Linked DNA regions of Rattus norvegicus. The protein of the gene in region 4 purifies or fractionates together with the protein of the main gene of each other region. This does not show direct contact. Links are inferred from orthologs where the notes say so. Each region holds a gene or a part of one and is shown on either strand. Other genes may lie near its edges.

The links.
Region 1: the proteins of Copg2 (region 4) and Copb1 purify together in Homo sapiens (affinity purification with western blotting; 4 studies listed by BioGRID and IntAct, with this or other methods). This does not show direct contact. The link is inferred for Rattus norvegicus from reciprocal best matches to the Homo sapiens genes COPG2 and COPB1.
Region 2: the proteins of Copg2 (region 4) and Copa fractionate together in Homo sapiens (co-fractionation; 4 studies listed by BioGRID and IntAct, with this or other methods). This does not show direct contact. The link is inferred for Rattus norvegicus from reciprocal best matches to the Homo sapiens genes COPG2 and COPA.
Region 3: the proteins of Copg2 (region 4) and Copb2 fractionate together in Homo sapiens (co-fractionation; 4 studies listed by BioGRID and IntAct, with this or other methods). This does not show direct contact. The link is inferred for Rattus norvegicus from reciprocal best matches to the Homo sapiens genes COPG2 and COPB2.
Region 5: the proteins of Copg2 (region 4) and Copz1 fractionate together in Homo sapiens (co-fractionation; 5 studies listed by BioGRID and IntAct, with this or other methods). This does not show direct contact. The link is inferred for Rattus norvegicus from reciprocal best matches to the Homo sapiens genes COPG2 and COPZ1.
Region 6: the proteins of Copg2 (region 4) and Nudcd1 purify together in Homo sapiens (co-immunoprecipitation; 3 studies listed by BioGRID and IntAct, with this or other methods). This does not show direct contact. The link is inferred for Rattus norvegicus from reciprocal best matches to the Homo sapiens genes COPG2 and NUDCD1.

What each region holds. Positions count from the first base shown.
Region 1 is NC_086019.1:177,848,841-177,852,340, forward strand, and holds part of Copb1 (coatomer subunit beta), read right to left. Parts: intron 2,262-3,500; coding exon 2,101-2,261; intron 1,047-2,100; coding exon 926-1,046; intron 1-925. UniProt on the Homo sapiens protein: The coatomer is a cytosolic protein complex that binds to dilysine motifs and reversibly associates with Golgi non-clathrin-coated vesicles, which further mediate biosynthetic protein transport from the ER, via the Golgi up to the trans Golgi network.
Region 2 is NC_086031.1:87,106,368-87,109,867, reverse strand, and holds part of Copa (coatomer subunit alpha), read right to left. Parts: intron 2,208-3,500; coding exon 2,068-2,207; intron 1,332-2,067; coding exon 1,246-1,331; intron 1,170-1,245; coding exon of another isoform or gene 1,143-1,169; coding exon 1,004-1,142; intron 166-1,003; coding exon 3-165; intron 1-2. UniProt on the Homo sapiens protein: The coatomer is a cytosolic protein complex that binds to dilysine motifs and reversibly associates with Golgi non-clathrin-coated vesicles, which further mediate biosynthetic protein transport from the ER, via the Golgi up to the trans Golgi network.
Region 3 is NC_086026.1:108,039,486-108,043,486, forward strand, and holds the start of Copb2 (coatomer subunit beta'), read left to right. Parts: upstream 1-1,201; 5' UTR 1,202-1,288; coding exon 1,289-1,291; intron 1,292-4,001. UniProt on the Homo sapiens protein: The coatomer is a cytosolic protein complex that binds to dilysine motifs and reversibly associates with Golgi non-clathrin-coated vesicles, which further mediate biosynthetic protein transport from the ER, via the Golgi up to the trans Golgi network.
Region 4 is NC_086022.1:60,413,454-60,416,953, forward strand, and holds part of Copg2 (coatomer subunit gamma-2), read right to left. Parts: intron 2,068-3,500; coding exon 1,981-2,067; intron 976-1,980; coding exon 818-975; intron 1-817. UniProt on the Homo sapiens protein: The coatomer is a cytosolic protein complex that binds to dilysine motifs and reversibly associates with Golgi non-clathrin-coated vesicles, which further mediate biosynthetic protein transport from the ER, via the Golgi up to the trans Golgi network.
Region 5 is NC_086025.1:136,286,985-136,291,056, reverse strand, and holds the start of Copz1 (coatomer subunit zeta-1), read right to left. Parts: upstream 2,801-4,072; 5' UTR 2,752-2,800; coding exon 2,734-2,751; intron 1-2,733. UniProt on the Homo sapiens protein: The coatomer is a cytosolic protein complex that binds to dilysine motifs and reversibly associates with Golgi non-clathrin-coated vesicles, which further mediate biosynthetic protein transport from the ER, via the Golgi up to the trans Golgi network.
Region 6 is NC_086025.1:77,470,576-77,474,075, forward strand, and holds part of Nudcd1 (nudC domain-containing protein 1), read right to left. Parts: intron 2,736-3,500; coding exon 2,581-2,735; intron 1-2,580.

The DNA.
Region 1 (3,500 bases), on a different chromosome or scaffold from region 4:
CCCAAAGCTCAGAGGAAACATGAAGAAAACCACATTAAGCCATGGACAAATTAAACTGCTAAAACCCATGATAAGAATAATATAAAACCAGCCATGGGCAGGCAGGAGTGATAGAAGATTTCTCACTAGGAAGGCAGAAGACAATGGAGCTATACAGTGCTGGGAGAAAAGAATGCCAACCGGGAACTCAAATTTTACAAAAACATGTGGAAGGGGTGGAGGGAGATGGCGCAACTGGTAGAACCCTTGCAACCTACGTGTGAGGACCTGTGTCCAGACCTACGTCACGATCTGTGGTCCAAGGACACTCCTCTCCACACAGGGTGAAGAAGGGAAATGGCACAGACAGAGGCATGCTGATGAGACGGAGAACAACAGGCGCCCACCTCTGTACGAGCAGAGCTAAGGGTACTCACTGGACACTGCAAGAAACCTGGGTCCTTAACTGATAGCCACAAACATTCTCCTATCATTTAAAAGTGATGCAACCAATCCTGAGGACATCAATTTGGACTCTTAAAATAAAAACAGTTGGATGCTTAAATTACAAATTAAATATTACAAATACAACTAGGAAGGGTTAAAAAAAATGAGGAAGTGTTTGTCACATGCTGAGTGAAAATGAGCTTTATAAAGTACAAAAGATAAAATAGACAATAAAAAATGCTAATGAGAAAAGGCCACTGCTTCCATTGGCTGACTAACCCCGGCCTTCAGAAGTGACTCCATAACTCCTCACACCTCCTTCATCAGACTAATCATAGTATTTCTGAGTTTCTCTGTCAATATTTTAGTCATGTTATGTGTCTACTGTGACTGTTTCCCCTACTAACACCTGTAGCATTAACTTTGAAGTTTTTCACTGTTCAATAGAGTAGATATTTAGTAACCAATGACTGTACAAATACAGAATAAATGAACATACGTTTTGCTTTTTCTTCTCCTGAACCAATGCTACATAGCGTAATGCAATCTTGGTCAGAGTTGTGGCAAGGGAGGCAGCAACAAAGAAATCTCCATCCAGGAGGAATCCTCTCAAGGGTGGTCTGCAAAGGAATCAACAAACATGAAATACCACAATTTTTTTTTTAAATGGATAGTTACATTTCAAATGTTATCCCCTTTCCCGGTTTTTCTTCTCTCATCCCCTCTCCCCCTACTTCTGTGAGGATGTTCCCCCTCCCACACACCCTCTCTCCTCCACACACCCTTAAGTAGCACGTAGCTTTTGAATAAATGGTTCAGGTAAGCTACTGATTTCCTGTTTGGTGAGAAGGACCTCAGTTACATTCCTCACTAGTTTTCAAAATGAAAAAGAAGAATATGTAACTAATACTTTTCTTAAATAACTCAGCAGTCCAAAGAACAGAAAGAAAAGGATGTTGAATTAAGGATAGATGCACTGGAGCTAAAATGCGACTCCTGAGTGTGGGCTTATGTACTCTTTCAGAGTTGCTTACAGGGTTCTCTAGGTCTGAAATTCCTCTTGAAAATGGAGACAGTACACTCTCTGAAAGGGCTGCTGTCAAGACTGACATCAACTATTTGGTGTGGCTTCTAGTACATAAGAAGCATTCAACAACACTGTACCATCCTTTTTCTCATCATCGTCTCATAAACACGGACAGCAAAACAAAGAGGTGAACAACTGAAATGTTACTTATCAGTCAGAGCTGGACGGTTTGTACTGAGACCATAGCTCCAATGGCAGAGCACTAACCCAGCATGTGAGCGGCCCTGAGTGCTAGCTAGTGCAGGAGAAATGTATAATAAAGGAAAGAAAGAGAAAGCAAAGAAACAGGGAAAACTTCAAAATATCTTTCTGATACTAACAAGCAGTCAGACTTAAATTTATACACAGCACATCCTATGTGAGTAAAGTAAGTTTTATAAGAATATTTACTTCAATGGGAATAGTAGGAACGGAAGACTAAATTTACAGAGACCATTCACAGGGAAACCTTACACACATACCTTATTTCAAGACCTTAAATGGTAAATACTTTTACTTAAGCATCAAAAACTAGTAAGAGAAACCACAGCTGCTTCACCACAAGAGGGCAGTGCAGCCATTCAGCCAGCAGGGCGCAAAAGCGTTACCTGTCCTCTTCTTTCTTGGTAGGTCTAGAGCTGCTGAGTGCACTCTGAGTAGCATAGGTGCCCATCTCTGTAACCAATTTCTGAACGGGCCCAACAGTTATTTCTTCTTCTGGTTTTAACTCGCCAGCTTCTTTCTTTATTTCTGATTCTACGATTGGGATCTAAAAGCCAAATGGAAACAATGATTTAATAATATCAGCAGTAAAGTTACACTGAGGTAGTCAATCAACTTTATACAAAGGCATTTGGACTGTGGAGCTCTGTGGAAGAACAGAAGGTTAAAAGTCAATGATTCTGATGTGAATTCCCACACCACCACTGACTACTTGTATCATACTGAACAATATAATTGTGAGCCTCATTTCTGAATCTATTAAGGGGGAATCTTAGTTCTTTCTGAACAATTCATCAACAGAAAAATGAACAGGATAGTGTTAGCAAAGTAGATGCTCTATGGGCCTCACTCCTCCTCTTTGTCTCTTCCCTGGAAATACGAACCAAGCCAATACTCATCCTTCTAAAACAAAATGCCAAAGTAACTTCCCCAGCCACCCTGTTAGCTGATCACAGGGTTGCTACAGCTTGTTTGACAACATGCTGGCTTAAATTTCTCTAAGAGTCTTTAATTAAGCCTACTCTATGTCTTTTATTTTAGAGATGAAAAAAAGTTTAGGTAGTTAAGGAACTTAAAGTGAAGGTCTCAGAGTTGATTCCTGACAGTAATTAGTAAAGAACCCAGGTCTCCCGACAAAGTAGTCCATTGTTCTTTGTATTCTACCATGAAGCTGTTTTGGTGAAGGAATATTCCAATGTTAGTACATAAACAGTCTCGAGTCAGTCTTGTTCTGAGACTTTCAAAGCCCTTTCAAAGCACATCAGCAACAGCACAGTCTGTAGCTATTGCCAGGCATGCTGCATCTTTAATGCCAACACTCAAGAGCTAGAAGCAGGTACATCAGTAGATCTTTGAGTTCAAGGCCAGTCAAATCTATACATCGAGTTTCAGGCCAGTCAGGGCTATATAGTGAGACCTGATCTCAAAAAAGAGAAAAAAAAGAAAAAAAAGAAAAAAAAGCCAACAGTGGTGGTGCATGACTCTAATCCCAGCACTTAAGGTGTAGAGAGAGGCTAGCTTAGTCTATAAATTGAATTCCAGAATAGCTAAGGCTACACAGAGAAAGCTGGTCTTGAAAAACAACAACAACAACAACAACAACAACAACCCCCCACCCTAAAAAAGAAAGAAAGAAAGAAAGAAAGAAAGAAAGAAAGAAAGGGAAAAAAAAGAATAGCTGCACATTCTGCTAAAACAAAATCTTACCCAAAGATAAACAAATAATTATTTGAACAAATGTTAACAGTTCTCATGGAGGCAGGGGGAGGGGAGCCACTTTTAATTT
Region 2 (3,500 bases), on a different chromosome or scaffold from region 4:
ACCTCATCATACTTCCTGTTGATCAGGGCCAGTTTGAACTTGAATTCGGTGGGGTCAATGGTGAGCACCCGAGGACGACACTCCCTGTCCAGGCAGTATACGTTATTGCCCTTCACTCTTGTGACATAGATGGGCAAATCCAGAGTTCGGATGATCCCATGGTCCCTAGGAAGAGGGGATAAAAGGCACAATTTTCAGAAGGGAGAAAATCCAGCTTGTAAAAATGAATAAAGTTGAAATAGTATTTTCTCATTTTCCTTTCATCAAGTGCTACTTACACACTGATACAGACAAAAAGTGTTTCAAAACGATTTAATTCTTTTCTATGACAGAACATATGCTATGAACCTTTTATTTTTTTTGCAGTTTGAGTTATTGAGTCTAGAGCCTTGGGCATTCTAGGAAAGCATGCTACCAATGACTAGCCTCCCTTCAAAAATAAAAAACTCATAATTATGTATGTGAGCATTCATTATGCAGTATAGATGTGCATGCTGCAGTGATCTGTGGCGGTCAGAGGACAGCTCTTGGCACTCAGCTCTCTCCGCCCACCATATAAGGACTCTGGGGTCAAACTCACGCCTTGTTTTTAACCTGCTGAGCTATCTCACTGGCCCCTCCCCAGTCCTTTACAATGTTTCCCTAAATTTTGAAATTTTTTTATTTTATGTGTGTACACAATGCAGGTGTGTGTGGGGGCTACAGGAAAACTCTCAGGACCTGGTTCTCTCCTGCCATTTGAGGAACCTGGGGATTGAATTCAGGTTGTCTGACCTTAGAGAAACTGCCTGAGTCACTGAGTCAGCACAGAGAGACAGAGAGAGAGAGAGAGAGAGAGAGAGAGAGAGAGAGAGAGAGAGAGAGAGAGAGCCCTATAGTACATATATGCCCTGTTGGCTCTTTTATGAAGAAAGTTAACGGAGAACTGCGGTTAAATCTCTTGAGTTAGCACAGTGATCGCAGGAAGCCACCTTCTCCCACTTGTCCCAGATAATTAACTTACCCAGTGGTGACAGCATATTTGATGTGGTTGCTTGTGGTATAGATAAACACCCCACTTTCATCCCAGGCCCCACTCTTGACACGAATGTTCTCATGAATGTTACACAGAGCATCCAGCTTGCGGTTACAGATCACAATGGCTGTAAGAGGCAAAGGGCATGAGTGCTCTGTTGGACAGGGTGAGTGCAGTAAACTGGCAGGGAGGAAGTGGCCTCTAAGACGGTGGATATAATGAAGCCTTACCATGCTTGGCCAGGAGTGCAACATGAGACATGTCTGCCGACCAGATAACATATTTCACCTTGGAAATCTTCACTGATGCCAGAGTTCTGGGATAGCAAGAGAAAGGGAATCATGAATGGGCCTAATTGTGTTGTCTCAAGCTATGACCTATGCCGTTTCCATCTTTAATTAATGCAGAACTCAACTTCTCAATGTAATATCAGAGAAACACTGCCTACGCTGTAGGTCAGTAAGCTAAATGCTTTGGTTCACACTCTGCACTTCCTCTTCCTCCCTCTCTGCCGCCCCGTTCCCTCCTATATTAGGCCTTTGTCTCTATCAATTTTCACCACTGGACTTACTAAGTTCTTTAAGAACAGGAACTGTGCTATTCAACTTTGTGTTCTTCCCATCCCCAGACCCAAACCCATTCTTTAAAGATAGCTCAATGTCTGGTAGCCCTGGCCACGCTGCTAGAACGCATGCACTCGGGGGCAGGATAGACAGGGAAAGGGAAAAGGATCGCAAACAGCCTCGCAGTCGAGTGTGTAAGCAGCAGCGAGGCCATGTGGCAAGATTAGAAAACCCCCCTATTAAAGACCCCCACTCTCGGGCTGGAGAGATGGCTCAGTGGTTGGGAGCACCAACTGCTCTCCCAGAGGTCATGAGTTCAATTCCCAGCAACCACATGGTGGTTCACGGCCATCTGTGATGGGGTCCGATGCCCTCCTCTGGTGTCTGAGGACAGCTACAGTGTACTTGTATATGATAAATAAATAAACCTTTAAAAAAAAAAAAAAAGACCCCCACTCTCCCTCATTACAAGTTTGTCTGCCATGTTACCGCTTCTGCTGGACATCAAAGAGTGTGATGGAATCTGCATCCCGAAGCAGGAGGTTGCCTGTACCAGCATAGAAGATTTCATCACAGTTGGGCACCTGGATTTTCTTGGTGATCTCATTTTTCAGGTTTTTAATCAGAAGCTGAAATGAATATGGGTGGAGTCATGAGAAGTAAATAGATAAGGTAACCACTAATGATGTCCCCCAGCAATTGCTCCTTTAGTAAAGAAGTTTGTCCCTTATCCAAGTCATTTATACATCAGGTTGACTACTAATACTCTCTCCAGGGCCTCACAGTATTCATTCATTCATTCATTTGTGTGTGTGTGTGTGTCTGTGTGTGTGTTTCTGCGTGCGCTCGAGAATGTGTGGGTACATATATTATATGTCATGGTGCCCAAGTGTGTGGGTCAGAGGACAAATAGAAGAACTCAGTTCTCTCCTCTTACACATGGGACCTAAGGACTGAATTTAGGTCATCTACTTTGGTGATAAGGGTTCTTATCCACTAAGACATCTCATTGACCTCTAACCTCTCTCCTTTAGAGAGAGGGGGTGGGGTGGGGAGAGAATCTGGAGAAAAGGTTCAGCAGTTAAGAGCACTGACTTCTCTTCCAGAGTTCCTGAGTTCAATTCCTAACAACCATGTGGTGGCTCACAACTATCTGTAATGAGGTCAGATGTCCTCTTCTGGTGTTTCTGAAGACAGCTATAGTATATTCATATACATTACATAAGTAAATAAAACCTTAAAAGGGGAAGGCGCTAGAGAAATGGCTCAACTGCTGAGAGCACTGGCTGTTCTTCCAGAAGACCCAGGTTTAAATCCCAGCACCCACATGGCAGCTCACAACTATCTGTAACTCCAGCTACAGATGCAATATCCTTACACAGACATACGTGCAAGGAAAATACCAATGTACATAAGATAAGAAGAAAAGAAAGGCAATCCTAAAAGGCTGGGTCTCATAGCGCAGGCCTGTAATCTCAGCCACTTGGGAGGCTGAGCCCTGTCTTGGCTGCAGAGTGAGTTCATTCCTAGTCTAGGCAGTTTCTCACCAGACTCAGTGAGACCCTCAAAATTACAAAAATGAACAAGTTAAAATGAAAGCCTTGCATGAACAAGGCCCTAAATTCAATCCCCTGTACTTAAAAATAAGCAAACAAAATATTCGCCTAGATCTGAGTTTCTCAACTAGAAAGAAAATAGTCAAAATTTAGGCTTTTGTTGAGATTTTAATGGAAGACCCTTGCTTATCTTGCATTGAGCCTATCACAGGTATGCAAGTATGTATGTATGTATGTATGTATGTATGTATGTATGTATGTATGTGCATATTGTGTATGCATTTCTCCTCCCAGGCAAAGGGATTAAAGGTGTGTATCACCATCTGGCTCTCTAAATCTATTACATTTTAGGTACCAATTAGGGGA
Region 3 (4,001 bases), on a different chromosome or scaffold from region 4:
CTCCACTATTCTACCACACTAGATTATAGTTCACGTTTAAAACATTTTCAACTGAGCTTTGCAATTGGTTACTGCACGGTGTGCAATTATGTGATTATTCATCTCACTCACGTAAAATCTCATTACTGAGAGAAAATTTGTTTTTACTGAGACAAAAGAGTAAAGGTGGATCTTTGGAAACTACCCAACTTTTTGTACATGAAAATCGAGGCGCATAAATCTCCCAAGAGCCAGGAACTAATGAAAACACCTCCTTTCTGGAAACCTAGGCTTTTCTCCACCAGAGGTTTATAAGCAGCAAAGGGCAAGTTCCATTGTTTCATAGCATTTGCTTTTTAAAAGGTGTGTGTGTGTGTGTGTGTGTGTGTGTGTGTGTGTGTGTGTGTGTGTGTGGAAATCGGTACACAGTGCATTTGCACTTTTCCTGGCGATTCTTAGGGCGTGATATTTTCTGAAATTGAACTTATTAAAGAGCTGCTTTGGCGTAACAGATAGAGCACGGGGCTCCCAGGGCTTATCCCCCTGAGTCCAGATTCTAACAACACTGCTTACTATGTCATCTTGGCCAGTAAACCCAAGTTCCTTGAGCCTTACTTTCCTAATCAATAAAATGGAAACGACTCCTGTGTGGTGTTGGCTATACATTCAGCTGTAACCACACAAACGACCAGGAGGATGCTTTTTGAAGGGCAATCACTCGACTGACTCCGGGAGGATCCAGAACCAAGATCTCAGGACTCCTCGGAGCTTCAAAGGCGGGAGACGTGCCTACATCTCTTCCGCCTCGGTCGGTATCACCCAAACCAGACACCGCTCTGGGCCCCGTTCCGGAGCCCGCTGGAGTACACTGTTTCAGAGCCTTCTTTTCTCCGCCAGAGGCTCATGTTGTTCGGATAGGGCTTCCGGGCCCCATCGCTGTTGCCGGCGTTAAGCAGGAATTCAGCACCGTGCTCCATCTTCTTAGCTTTCTGAACCTGCTAGCAGGTAAACTGCCCGATGGCCGCTGGTCACCGCCCTATCCTAACCTCAGCAATACACGGAACAGCCAACTCAACAGCTCCGCAGCAGAAGACGCGGAAGGCCGCGTTACCTAGGAAACTGGGGCGGGACTACGCGCAGATTGCCTTACGGAGAATTTGCGCAGGCGCAGAGCCTGGTTCCGAGTGTCGCGAGAGCCGCTTCCCGGAAGTTCCACGTCAGTGGGTCCACTGCTCCGTGGGTCTGTGTGTTCTTGAGTACCAGTGTCGCTCGGAGCCTGTGAGAGGCTGGGGCTCGGACAATCGGAGCCATGGTAGGTCGAGCCTCAAAGGACAGAGAGTGGAGCCTACCGGCTACGGGGTTCCCGGGGCCTCCGGGCTAGGGGCCGTAGTTAGAAGCGGTCTGCGCTGCTGCGGCCTGGCGGGGTCCTCCTGTCCCGTTGGGAGTCCTGGGAGGAAGAAGGCCAGACTGGGAGGCTGCCGTGGTTACACGGTAGTGTAGGGGGGTGTCTGCGAGTTAGCTGCCGCCGACTCTCCTGGCAGTCAGGGCTCCTGTCAGTGCACCTGCAGTCTGCAGTGGGTCCAGTAGTGCAAGTAAATGCTAGAGGTAGGAGTCGGGCGACAAAGGCTACTTTGACAAAGTCACTTCATTCTGTCATTGAAGTGATGTTTGCTAATCCAGGTTGCGCGCGGTGTTTGATAGTGTGCACACACCAAATTGCAAACTTAAGCAGAGGGGGGAAAAAGTTAAATGTATGTGGAATCAGAGGCGGAATTTCAAATGCTTTGGCGGCCCAGTTCGGCGTTTTCTAGCTGGTGTTGATTGGGCCTTCTAGGCTCACAGAGGATGGTATTTTGGGGAAAGGCCCTTAGATCTGCCTCATTTCATTTTGAGACATATTTTTAATAGTGAAACCTTGCTTTCATTCTTCAAGGTATGTGAGTCCCATACCCACAAATTGAACCAGCTTTTGGTGGAAGACATTTGGGGAAAACTATTGTGTGAACATGTGCTGTTATTTTTTTCTCCTTGTGATAATATACAACAACTCTTTACAACTTTGACCCTGTATTGGTGTTGTAACTAATGTAGAGATGACCAGGAGTCATGGGTAGATTATAAGCACTAAAATAACTGAACTTGAGGGTTTTGGTTTGGTGGAGGGTACTGGAACCATGTGCAGGCACCAAAGGATGACTGTATTTTAAGTCTCCGGTAAAAAGTACAAAACACGAATTTATTTATTTGCTCACTCACCATAGGAGAACTCACTCTCCTGTATTTTGCTAAACATTTACCAGCTGATTGTCACAGCAGCCTGTAGATAATTATGAGTAATGTTTATGGTGGTTCCTGTAAGCCTTGCTCTGGTCTGCTCTAACTGAACTCTGATTTTAAATCTCGGAATGCTAAGAGAGATATTATTATCCCCATTTATACAAGCCAAACCTGGGAGGCTAATTAAGCTTAATACTGTATGTCTGACTTGAGAGCTGCAGATGAGGCTTGAATGTAGTGTGGATCTCAGTTATACTACCTGCTCCTCCCCTGCTCCCAAGTAAATACGGTGTGGAGAGAAGGACCTGGATAAGCATTGAGGCAGGCCCTTAAGAAATAATCCACTCCACAAGCAAGAAGAGCTGTGCATGTGGATGTACTATAAACGGGGGGGGGGGGGGGGGGGGGGGGGAATCCTCTGGCTAGGCCAATCAGAGAGGGCGTAGTGGTGGCAGCAACATTTAAACTAAGTCTGGAGTTGAGGATGCAGTGTGAGTAGGTTAATCATCTAAGACCTGGTATGATGTCTTTTTTTTTTTTTTTTTTAATCATGACTGAGATGGTAAGTATGACTCCAGGAGCTCTTGCCTGCAGTAATGGACATTTTAAAATGGGTGTCTTTGCTTGGAGTATGTGCAGCTAGACTAGATAGTTCAGAGATCCCTGGCCATTTTGAAAAATCAATTTAAAAACATTGTTAGGATTTATCCTCACAATCCTATTTCACACACACACACACACACACACACACACACACACACACACATACTTACTTGGATATGTGGCTTATGTTATGTTGAAGACCCACTATGGCTCCTGGCATAATATACTTCCTGCTTGTTGTTGGCTCAAAGAAGTAGTTAAAATCCATGTCAGTAGTCAGTGGGGCAAAAATTCAGAAATCATTGAAAAGGTTTGTTTTCCTGAAATTAGCATGTGATTTGAAGATAGTGGCTTGAGTATATAAGAGATAGGCAGGACCACACAGCAGTGGAGGAGTTCTCAAGAAAGCTGAAGAGAGAAAACACCGTCCTAATGTTGTTTTTGAAAGTGAGGGAGGCAAACATGGAAGAAGTTAGAAGTAGACAAAGAAGTTAGAAGTAGACAAAGACACAAAAAGAGGTGAATAAACGCCTTGTTAGGTGTTTGTTTCAGGATATTATCTCTGCCAGATCCTCAATTTGTGCTTAGAAGCAACCTTAGATTTCTGTTGAATTCATGATTGTTACAGAACAGCACAAGACACTAGCACAGAGACTCATCTGGCCAGTAAGCTTTCAGGCTGTGCATTAGGCTTATTGAAGGGGACATGCATTTGACCTGCGCGGATAAGAGAGAGTGCTCCAGGGCATCTTTGAACGAATTAACTTTTCTTCTGTGGTGGCATCCCTAGGAGAAACGGAACACAGTCACTCAAATCAGTTTCTGGTCTGCGGTTCAGAGAAGGAGTCTAACTGGAAAGGGGCAGTTTTAAACTGTTACTATTTAATGGCTTAATTTGTTTAAAATTGTTCTACTTTTCAGTATGTTTCTATACATTCAAAAGACCTTTATGAACATGAGTAAACCCTTATTGATCAGGCATTACTACTTGTCTACAGTTTAAATGTCCTCCCCATCTGATTATTTTTAAAGAGCTCATTTAATATTATGGTTTAGGATTAGTACAGTTTCATGAATGACATTTTCTGGTACAGCACTCATGCATGGACATGAAATTGTGACGTAGTTGATGTTTTGAATTT
Region 4 (3,500 bases):
ATCTGCAATCCCAGCACTTGGGAGGCTGAGGCAAGAAAGGCCAACCTGGAGAGATACTGTCTATAAATTAAAAAGGGAAAGCCATAAGCCATTTAGGGCGAGGACGCTTCTTATTTGCTCCAAGTTTATTATACCTTGAAAGATCCCTATCCTCTTCCTGCCTCCTTCTAGCCTCTAGGACTGCTAAGGTATTGCTGGGAAGTTCACCTATAACTCACACTTACACAGTGATCTTGGGCAAATTACTCTTATATTTTTGGTTGTGAGCCTAGCCTTTAACGGCTGAGCCATCTCTCCAGCCCTTGGGCAAATTACTCAATTTAGCATTTCAATATTTTCTCTTATACAAGATGATTTTTAATGTCCCTCCTGATTATCATATTCGATTATCTATATATAACTTAGGACCTACACATTTTACCTCTGGTATCAGTTCATAAATATATTATTAGTAATCACTCCATATATGAGCATATATAAAGGTAAAAAAAAATACTGTGTTACTTAGAATCCTCAATTTCTTTTTCTTTTTATTTGTTTGTTTGAGATAGGGTTTCTGCATAGCTCTGACTGTCCTGGAACTCATTCTATAGACCAGGTTAGCTTCAAACTCAAGAGATCCACCTGCCTCTGCCTCCCGAGTGCTGGGATTAAAGCAGGCACCACCATGCTCAGCTGTCAAGCCAATTTCTTTGTAATTTGGAAATTATTAAACTGATCTGTAAAGTCAGTGCTACCCTAAAATATTCATAAATAAAATAAATTCTAAGGAAATATTAACTTGTAAATAGCAACCAACTCAGTTTAGGATACTTACCCATCCTCGCTTTCTTTCAGTAAGCGACTAGCAATCCGAATCAGCATACAGTATGCAAACTGTGATTTGAGACCAGACTTGGTAAACTTATTTAGCATCTTGGAGACAGCAAGCCGATCATTCTTCCGGAGGTGATAGAGCACTCCCAATGCATGGTACTAAGAACAAGAAAGAGTGCAACATGAGCTTAGGGAGACAGCAAGACACCTACAGGCAAGACAACTGCATGGAACTAGACAAAAGATTGTTTTCAAAAAAGATATACAAGTAAAAAAGACAAAATACAGTATCTTTTTTTATATGAAACTAAACACCAGAATCACTAAGAAAAAAAGAGAGAGTGTGTAATGTACTCCAGAAGTTGTAAATTCAGAGCAGCCAGTAAGAAAGGAGTTGCATACAACCTAAAAGCAGATCTAGTGGGTTTAACAATGGCTCACACCCTCAGATCTAACTTCCACAGAGACGGGGTTTTCCTATGTTTCAAACTCATGGGCTCAGGTGATTCTCCCACCTCAGGCTCCTGAGTGCTGGGACTACAAGTACATTCCTACAAGTGTCGCCAGCTTAATAAAAGGAGAGGAGAGTACCATCACCATGACACTTGTATGATAGTACACTGGCAGACTTAGACCAATAGGTGTCTCAAGAGGAAGTGACTGTTTCACATTATTAAATATGCTAATGTAAGAAAATATAAACATTAATACTTTTTCAAAGACAGAGATTTCACATAAAACTACCAGTTAGACTTTTGATAATATTCCTTTAGATAATAGCTTAATAAATATCATAAGCTCTTTCTAAAAGATTTCAATATTTTTGTATAGCAAAAATGGCTGATGTTTTTACACTACTAACAAGGCATAAGAAACAGTTTCCTTTTACATAAATTATCTTTCAAATAAAAGGCCAAAATGCACTGTGAATCCCTCTGGAATAAGCATTTCTATCTACTACTGTAAAGGGAATTTTTCTTGAACATTCCTACTGGAGGTCACTTATCTTCTACCAAACAGAAAACCAATAGAAATAATAAAACTTTGTATGCTGCCTACTTGATAGTATATACTTATAAGTGGATTAATATGTTAAAAATTAGCCTTTACTGCTGGATAATCAATACTTTCTCCTGACACATAAAATTATATCAAAGACAGTACCTGCACCATGATATTGTCACTTGATGCAGCTTCTTGGGCTTCATTTATCCATCGTTTAACCACATCATAGCTTATCTTCATCATATGCTAAATTAAAATGGGAGAATATATAATGCATGATCACTAGACACTAGAAATGCAAGTTAAATTTCTTGCAAAAATTACTAAAGATATTTCCCAAACACAGAAAATACTGCTGCTTTTTAAGTCTACATTGTCTCTACTCTAAGGCAACTATAAACTGAAGTTTTCTTCTTTAACATCTCTTTGCAAAGTAATAGAAACCTACACATTCGTGAGCTGAAAGAGACAAGGAAAAGAAAGCCACGAAAGGGGAAGAAGAGAAGCATTAAATAAAATGGCTCTTAAGGAACGTTAACATTAGCTTGACTTCAGGAAATTCCCCTGAAGAAGAAACAGTACAACATGCTCCTTGATCTAAAACCTGTTCCATGACATTCTAGAATCAGGCAGTCTGCTCTAATGATTTGTATGGATGTGTGGGTAAGTATGTCTGTTCATGGAGGTGGGGGTGTGTGTAGAGGATAGGGGTCAAGCTTGTTTTTGAAGCACAATCTCTCACTGGGATCTGGGGCCTGACAATTGTCTAGGCTGACTGGCTGGTGAGCTACAGGAATCTGCCTGTCCCCACCTCCCCGGAGCTGGGATTACATGTCACCATACAAGTTTTTTTTATGTAGGTTCTGAGACTATGTCCTTATGTTTACTAGCAAGCGTTTCACTAACCAAGCAATCCCTAGTCCCTTATTAACTGACTTTAATCAAATGCAATGTGTTAAGATTTTTAAAGAATATATTTTTTGGGAGCAAGAGAGATGGTTCAGCAGTTAAGAGCACTGACTGCTCTTCCAGAGGTCCTGAGTTCAGTTCCCAGCAACCACATGGTGGCTCACAACCATCTGTAATGGGATTTGATGCCCTCTTCTGGTGTGCCTGAAGACAGCTACAGTGTACTCACAAACATAAAATAACTTAAAAAATAATACATTTTTGTTTTGATGAAAGGTGAAGGAAAAGCTATTACTGAAACAAAAGATCACTTCTTTTTCTTTCTTTTTTTTTTTCTTTTCTTTTTCTCAGAGCTGGGGACCAAACCCAGTGCCTTACCACTGAGCTAAATCCCCAACACTTCTTGAAATTCAGAGGTAATAAGGAAGACTTTAAAGGACACAGATGGATACTAGAAATGAAGGGAAGCTGAGAACAAGATGTTGGAGGTAAACATAAGAGCACAGAGGAGGAACTTAAAACTAGCCCCTGTTTCTCCACCGTCATTACTCCTATCCTTCTAAGTATCTTTAGTCCCCAAAGCTTCTAAACACCAACATTCAAGTTTTTACTGCCCATTATAACTGCTGAGTGTTTTCCCAAATAGAATACAGTTGGATAAAGTAACAGGATACACACGCATTTTTAACTGATTCTCTTGTAAGAGAACAACAGTAATAAGTTATTTTTAAACTAGACACTAGACCACACATAAGAAACAAAAAGCTGCC
Region 5 (4,072 bases), on a different chromosome or scaffold from region 4:
AGGACTACATAATGAGACCCAGTCTCAAAAATAAATGAATGAATGAATAAATAAATAAAGTTGGAAAGAACACAGAAGTAGAAAAGAAAAAGACACTAGTTTAATCCTCAAGAACTCTAAAAATCAGCACAAAAACTAATACCTGTAGGTTTGGGATTTATTTATTTATTTATTTATTTATTTATTTATTTATTTATTTATAGATAGGCTCTCTCTACATAGTTTTGACTGTCTGGGAACTCACTAAGTAGACCAGGCTGGCTTCAGACTCTCAGACATCCTCCAGCCTGTGCCTGCCAAGTACTGAGATTAAAGGTGGGAGCCACAATCTATAGATTCCTGTAAGTATTTTATCAACAAAAACTTTATACAACCCATGGCTGAAAGGAAAATCCTGCAAACTAAAGAGGTGTAAGAACCTACAGAAACTTCAGAAACCTAGTGAGGCCGGGAAGTGACAAATTCAGGCCCAGTCCAGGCTACATAATGAGACTGTATCAAAAAGAAAAAAGAAAAAAAAAAAAAAGATTTGTTCTGAGAGAACAAGGAAAGTAAAATGGAATGGAGTTTTGGCACTGCCCTTCCTTAGGAAGAGTCTTTTCCTACAGCTCTGCATCCCTAAACCCAACACATAAGGTGCTTGTGACAAAGACCTGGTACAGTTTTTAAAGTAAAAGTATGGGGTTTCCAGCAAGGGTCTGTTACTACATGCAGCTGGTGAGCTCAGCCGAAAGGTAAGAATGAGGAAGAGGCAGGGTGAGACAGACTACCCAGTGCAAGAAGAGACAGAAAAGGGAGAGAAAATGACACAGAGATTACCCCATACAACTTCAGCTCTCCCAGGGCTAGGGGCCGAACACAGGGCCTTTAAAGTCAGCTAGACCATGTGCTCTTGGCATAGCATTACACCCAGCCCAACAGAACCAACGGTAAAGGAGCTCCCCAAGTATCACCTTCCTCACTCTTTAAGCTGGTTCAACTAAATTACATTAATTTTGGTTTTATGAGACAAGGTCTTATTTTGTAACCCAGGCTGGCCTCAAACTAGCAACAATATGGCCTCAACCTGAGTGCTGGGGTTACATATGTGAGCCACCACACCTGACTAAAAAGGCTAAAAACATCCAAGAAAACCAATTTTACAAACTCTACCCACATCTGTCACAAGATTTTAAAAAACAGTAAAAATACAGTAAATACTTGAACTACTCAAGACATTTTGCTTCAACTTATCCAACTCACATGATGAGAATAAATTCTCTTTGACATTTGAAAGAAAGAAGGTTTGGACAGATAGGCCAGTGGTTAAAAGTGCTTGTCATACAAATAAGAAAACCAAAGTTCAAATTCCCACATAAACACCAGGTGAGAATGGAGGAGGTCTGTCCTTGGCTACATGGCAAAGTTGATTCCAGTCAGACCTTATGAAACCTTCAGTCAAAAAACTAAAACGAGCTGGAGTGGTGTCACATACCTCTAGTCTCAGCACTTGGGAGGTAGAGGCAGGTGGATCTCTGTGAGTTTGAGGCCAACCTGGTTTCATAATGAGTAGCCAGGGCACCAGAAAAGGGAAAGGGAGGTGGAGAGGGAGAGAGGGACCCTGTCTCAAAAAACTTTTTTCCTCTAAAAAAGAGAAGGAAAAACTTGGTTGTTGGTTTTTTTTTTTTCTTTTACTGACAAAGAGTTTGACATGTACACTTACAAGGAATAGAAAGGAAAACAGAAGCTAAGGAAGACTCTTGGAAACAGTCCTGGAATACAACTGAAAGGAAGAAGCTGAAAGTTAAATTCCTATACTAACATTCAGACACAGGTAGGCCTCCAAACTGCCAGCCAGTGCCTTGACAGGCGGAAATGCTCTGGCTGGGGATTTAGCTCAGTGGTAGAGCGCTTACCTAGGAAGCGCAAGGCCCTGGGTTCGGTCCCCAGCTCCGAAAAAAAGAACCAAAAAAAAAAAAAAAAAAAAAAAAAGAGGCAGTGTTTTATTTGAACAAGCAGAAGGATCAGGGGAGAAGAGAGCTAATGCACTGCTGGTATCAGTCACCTCAGTTCTCATGTAACCAAGCAGGGGAAGACAGACAAGGGGTCCTACAGTATGAGTTCCTAAAGTCTAAAGGAGGAGGGAATAGGACAGCAGAATAAGGAGTCAGAAAAAAAAATATTCCAAAATCTAGACTAGCTCTACCAAGTACTCCTGAACCTGGATGGAATGCTGACCGACTCTCAATCATGACGGGATTAAATACTAAAGATTAACAGGAAAACGAAAACAAGTTTTGTGAAGGAACAGGACATGGAACTGCCAATACGTAGTCGAATTCTGACCACCATCAGGAGAATCTGGGGCTGACAAAACACCTCTATTCTGCCGTTGCAACTTGGGGGGAAATATGGAGGTTTGGGGAAACTCAAGTAGGTATGATCCACAATGCTAACCATCAGGGAGAACTTGAACTCCCCCGCCCCCCAGGCCCCGATCCAGTGCATTCAGAATTCTCCTAAGGTCCCTGCATGTTCTCTTCAACTTTGCCACCGGCTCTTGCCTCTTCCCGGTCAGGCTTCCTACTCTAAACCGCGGCTCTGGCTCCCATGTAGGCCACACTTGCATTGCTCAGACAGCGGGAGCTTCGGCCCCGAGGCCTGCCCAGAACCCTCTCCCCGCCCCAGTTGATGAACCCCACCTCCCGGACCCCCTGGACACCACGGCGGAGCCACCGGCCCTCCAGCTCCTACCAAAATCAGCGCCTCCATCTTGCCCGTAGCTGCTGCCGACGTGGAGTCGCACAAGCGACGTCGCCGCTGATTGGCCCTGAGTCTTCGCTAGATCCCGCCCCAAAGAAGCAACATTGGGTGAAAATAAGCCAGCCTTCGCATCTGGACCAGTCAGCGTAGTCACTCGCTTCACGGACGCCAACTGTCCAGCCAGAAGAAGCGGATGTTTGATTGTCATCCGGAATTTTCAATGAAAGACCAAAACCTCAAGCGCTGAAGGGGCGGGAGGATCATTGAGGGCGGTGTTGTTTCCATGGGGAACAGAGGAAGCGATTGTTACTTTGCTATTGGTAGGAGGAAGCCACGTGATTCTGTCAGCCTCTTATTCGCACTCGCTGTAGGGGGTGCTATGTGTCTCTAACCCTTAGCATTAGCCTTGCTGAAAAGCCCTACCTGAATCCAGATTCCCAGCGCCACCATTAGGTCCTGCGGGTTATCCGCAGCTGTAGTGTCCTTGGGTCATTTCAACAACATTGAGAGTTCACCAAGTTAGCTATGGACAGTCAAGCGTTGCCTACACAAACCAAAGTCTGGAGAAGTATATCCCAGGATGTGCACGTGTCACGTACACATACCCAATAAATATTTTAAATTTAAGAGCTCATGCTCTTCTTGTGGAAAACCTGAGTTCAGTTCCCAGCTCCCACATTCCGTTGCTCAGCTCCAGACAATCTGCCTCCCACTTTCGGTCTGGGAGTCGATGCAGGAGACCTGCACTTTGATGGACAACGTTCCCCCCACCCCCATTCCCTTTGGTTCAACAGGAAATAAGATATTAGGGCATTGGAGACAAGAGAGAATGAAAGAATAAGGACCAAGGCAGAAAGGGATGAGAATGGTACATTCTGAGTGGATAAGGTAGGTTTGTAGCTGGGAATGGTGGTGTCACCTTTAATCCCAGGACTAGGGAGGCAGATCTGAGTTTGAGGCCAGCCTGGTCTACATACAGAGTTCTAGGCCAAACAGGACTACACAGTAAGACCGCGGTTAAGAGCATTCGCTGCGCTTCCAGAGGACCTGAGTTCAATTCTCATCACGTGGGGCAGGGGGGTGGGGGACGAGGAGGAGGAGGAGGAGGAGGGGGAGGAGGAGGAGGGAGAGAGAGAGAGAGAGAGAGAGAGAGAGAGAGAGAGAGAGAGAGAGAGAGAGAGGAGAGATTGAAATTTCCAGGTTTACATAATAGGGAGATTTATCAACATGATAAATAAATAAAATTTTTTTTAATGGTAAGATTTTGTTGAAGTTTGATTTCCCCGTGCCTCCGTTCCTGCCCCGAGTAAAAGCCAAAGCCACTATCCAC
Region 6 (3,500 bases), on a different chromosome or scaffold from region 4:
ATTTGGCTTATGTCTTCACATTACATTTTATCATCAAAGGAATTCAGGAACTCAAGCAGAGCAGGAACCTGGTGGGAAGAGGCCAAAGGAGTTCTTACTTGCCTGCTCATTCTGATTTCCTATAGAATTTAGAACTTCCCACCCAGGGATGGCAACACATACAATGGGCTGAACCATCTCCAATCAGTAACTAAGAAAACTAACTAACTAACTAACTAACTACAGGCTTGCTACAGTTTGATTAATGGAGCCTTTTTTAAATTGCGGTTTCCTCTCTGATGACTTTAGCTTGTTGTCAAGTTGACATAAAACTATCTATCACAGCCCTATATCAGATGTGTAGTCGGCAGAAATCTTTTCCCATTGTATACACTGCCATTTTGTTCCAAGGGACAATGTCCTTTATAGTGCAGAAACTTCAATTTCATGAGGTCCCATATATTAATTGTTGATATTAGTGCCTGTGTTAACTGTGTCCTGTTCAAAAAGTCTTTTACTGTCCCAGAGAGTTCAAGGCTATTGTCCAACTTTCTCGTCTATCAGATCTCATGTATTTGGTTTTATGTTGAGGTCTTTGGAGTTTTGTACAGGGTGATAAATATCTGGGTTCTTCTACATGTAGACAGTTTGAGCAGCATGGTTTACTGAAGATGCTGCCTTGTGTCCATATGTGTATGTACTTATGTCTGGGTCTTCTATTCTATTCTATTGGTGTCTGTTTTGTGCCAGTACCATGCTGTTTTTATTACTATAGCTCTATAGTACAACTTAAAATCAGGAATGATGATACCTCCTGCACTCCTTTTATCATTAAGTATTGTTTAGTTATCCTGGGTTTTTTGTTTTTTGTTTTGTGTGTGTGTGTGTGTGTGTGTGTGTGTGTGTGTGTGTGTGTGTGTGTGTGTGTATGCGTGTCCATATAAAGCTAATACTGTCTTTTCAAGATCTGTGAAGAATTGTGTTTGAATCCTACTAACTCATGAGCATAGGAAATCTTTCTATTTTGATATCATTTTCAATTTCTTTCTTCAAAGACTCAAAGATTTTATCAAATAAATGTTTACATGCTTTGTTAGTTATCTCAGGACATTTAATATTATTTGAGGCTACTATAAAAGGTACTTACCTGATTTCTTTCTTAATCTGTTTATCATTTGTATATAGGAAGGCTACTGATTTTTGTGATTTAAATGAAGGCATTTCTAAAAGGCAAATTCTTAGCACTAAGTGCCTACATTAAAAAAAAAGAGAAAGAGAAATCTAATACTAGAAACTGAATAACACACCTAAAAGCTCTGTAACAAAAAAAGAAGAAGAAGAAGAAGAAGAAGGAGAAGGAGAAGGAGAAGGAGAAGGAGAAGGAGAAGGAGAAGGAGAAGGAGAAGGAGAAGGAAGGAGAAGGAGAAGGAAGGAGAAGGAGAAGGAGAAGGAGAAGGAGAAAAGAAGAAGAAGAAGAAGAAGAAGAAGAAGAAGAAGAAGAAGAAGAAGAAGAAGAAGAAGAAGAAGAAGAAGAAGAAGAAATAATCACACCCAAAAGGAGTTAATAGCAGGAAATAATCAATCACAGAATTATTATTGATAATCGATTCCTGAACTCAGAAAAACAGAAACAAATACAACAAGCAAAACAAACAACAACAAAAACAATACCAAGGGTCAATGGAACAAAGAGTTGGGTTTTTTTTTTGAGAAAAATCAATAAGATTGACAAACCATTATCCAAATTAACTACTAGTTATTTATGAGATACACTTTAACCCTTTTAAAGTAAAATAATACTGATATATTTAAAAAAAAACAGAAAACACACACTTTGTGTGTGTTCCTGTGCATATGCACATACAAGTACTCGTGTTTGTATGTACATGGAACCTAGAGGTCAACCTCTGGTGATGTTCTTCTAGCTCTGTCCACTACTGCAAGCTCCAGGGATGTGCTTATCTCTGACTTATCAGAGTTGAGACTACAAGTGACTGCTATCCCCACCAGGGCTTGCAATATAGACTCTAGATACAGAACTCAGATCCTGGTGAGGTTTTAGCACAGGCTTTCAAAGAACAATTAATGTTAATACTCATCAAATTATTCCACAACATAGAAACAGAAGGAATATTACTGACTGAAAATTTTCCCTGGGCCAGGATATCAGTTTTTAAATCAGTTATGACTGTATTAATATAAGGCAAACAAGATTTGAAGGCAAAACTATTTCTAAGACCTAAAGGGAAAAAAAAAGAATATTTCATAATATAAAAGGGATCAACATAAATAACCAAACCTAAATGTTAACATAGTTCAAAAACATAGTGTAAACACCAACTAAAATGGAAAAGAAGAAATCTATTATTATATTGAGGATATACCATACAAGTGGAAATGGATGGGTGAAGGAGATTACAATAAAACAAGAAGATAAAAGTTATAACTGAGGTAAGCAGAAGGGAGCCTAACACAGTTTGATGACAGACTTCCACATTGCAAAGGTCTGTGCACCTTGACTACCTGGACATCAGATTCAGACATTAAAGAGTAAGAAAAACAGGATGAGCTCTGTCCTTACACTCTGCATGTGTCTCTTACCAGCATCACTGTTAAGTTCATAATTCTTCCAAGGTTATCAATGTAGTAGACACTGTCTTGGTACCAGGCATCACAGTGCAGATAATTATACATTCCAAAAGCATGCATGTGTTCCAATGTATACTGGTCATCCCGAAGTTTTACTTCTGCCACAGCTGAAAGACAAATATATATAAAAATATATTCACATATATCTATATGTATGTATAAATATAAACATAGTCATCAAATCTTGCATCTCAGATCATTACTTTCTGCAGAATGCCTACAGGGCACAGAAACCAGTCAATGCCAACTGCAGAGGCTACAACAGGTAGGGCTTTTGTAGCACAATCCTTTTCTTTTATTCATTTCTACAATTTTAATTACAAAAGTAGACATCTTATGGGCAAACAAGTGACTATTGATAAAGTGTTTTTATGCTTTTTAAAACATCTTTATCACACATAATGAAAAACATAGTGTCTTTATTGATTATACAGTTAGAAAATTGTGTATAAACACAAATAGGTAAGTTCAGCATCATACTCCATCTTTCCCAATTATATGAAATAAAACAATATCATAGTTAGGATGTACTCGAACTTTTCTATGTATAGAATACACTCTCACAACCAAAACATTAGCTGTTTTCCTAATTCTGAATTGGCAAAATATGGTCTCTCCTTCACACTGTACTATTGGTACAGTTCCAAACTCTTGCAGCTCAGGACTGCTCATGTTGTACAATTAATTAATGTTGTAACAAGAAATATTAAGTGTCACTGAGCCTACATGTTACATTAATATAAAACTTACTTTAATTCTATTCTCAATGCAACAATTTTCTTCTTTACCTATTTCTATAATTTGCATTCTGTTGCTATTCCAAATACCATAACCAAAAGCAACCTCAGAGAGGGAGGGGTTAATTCCAGCTT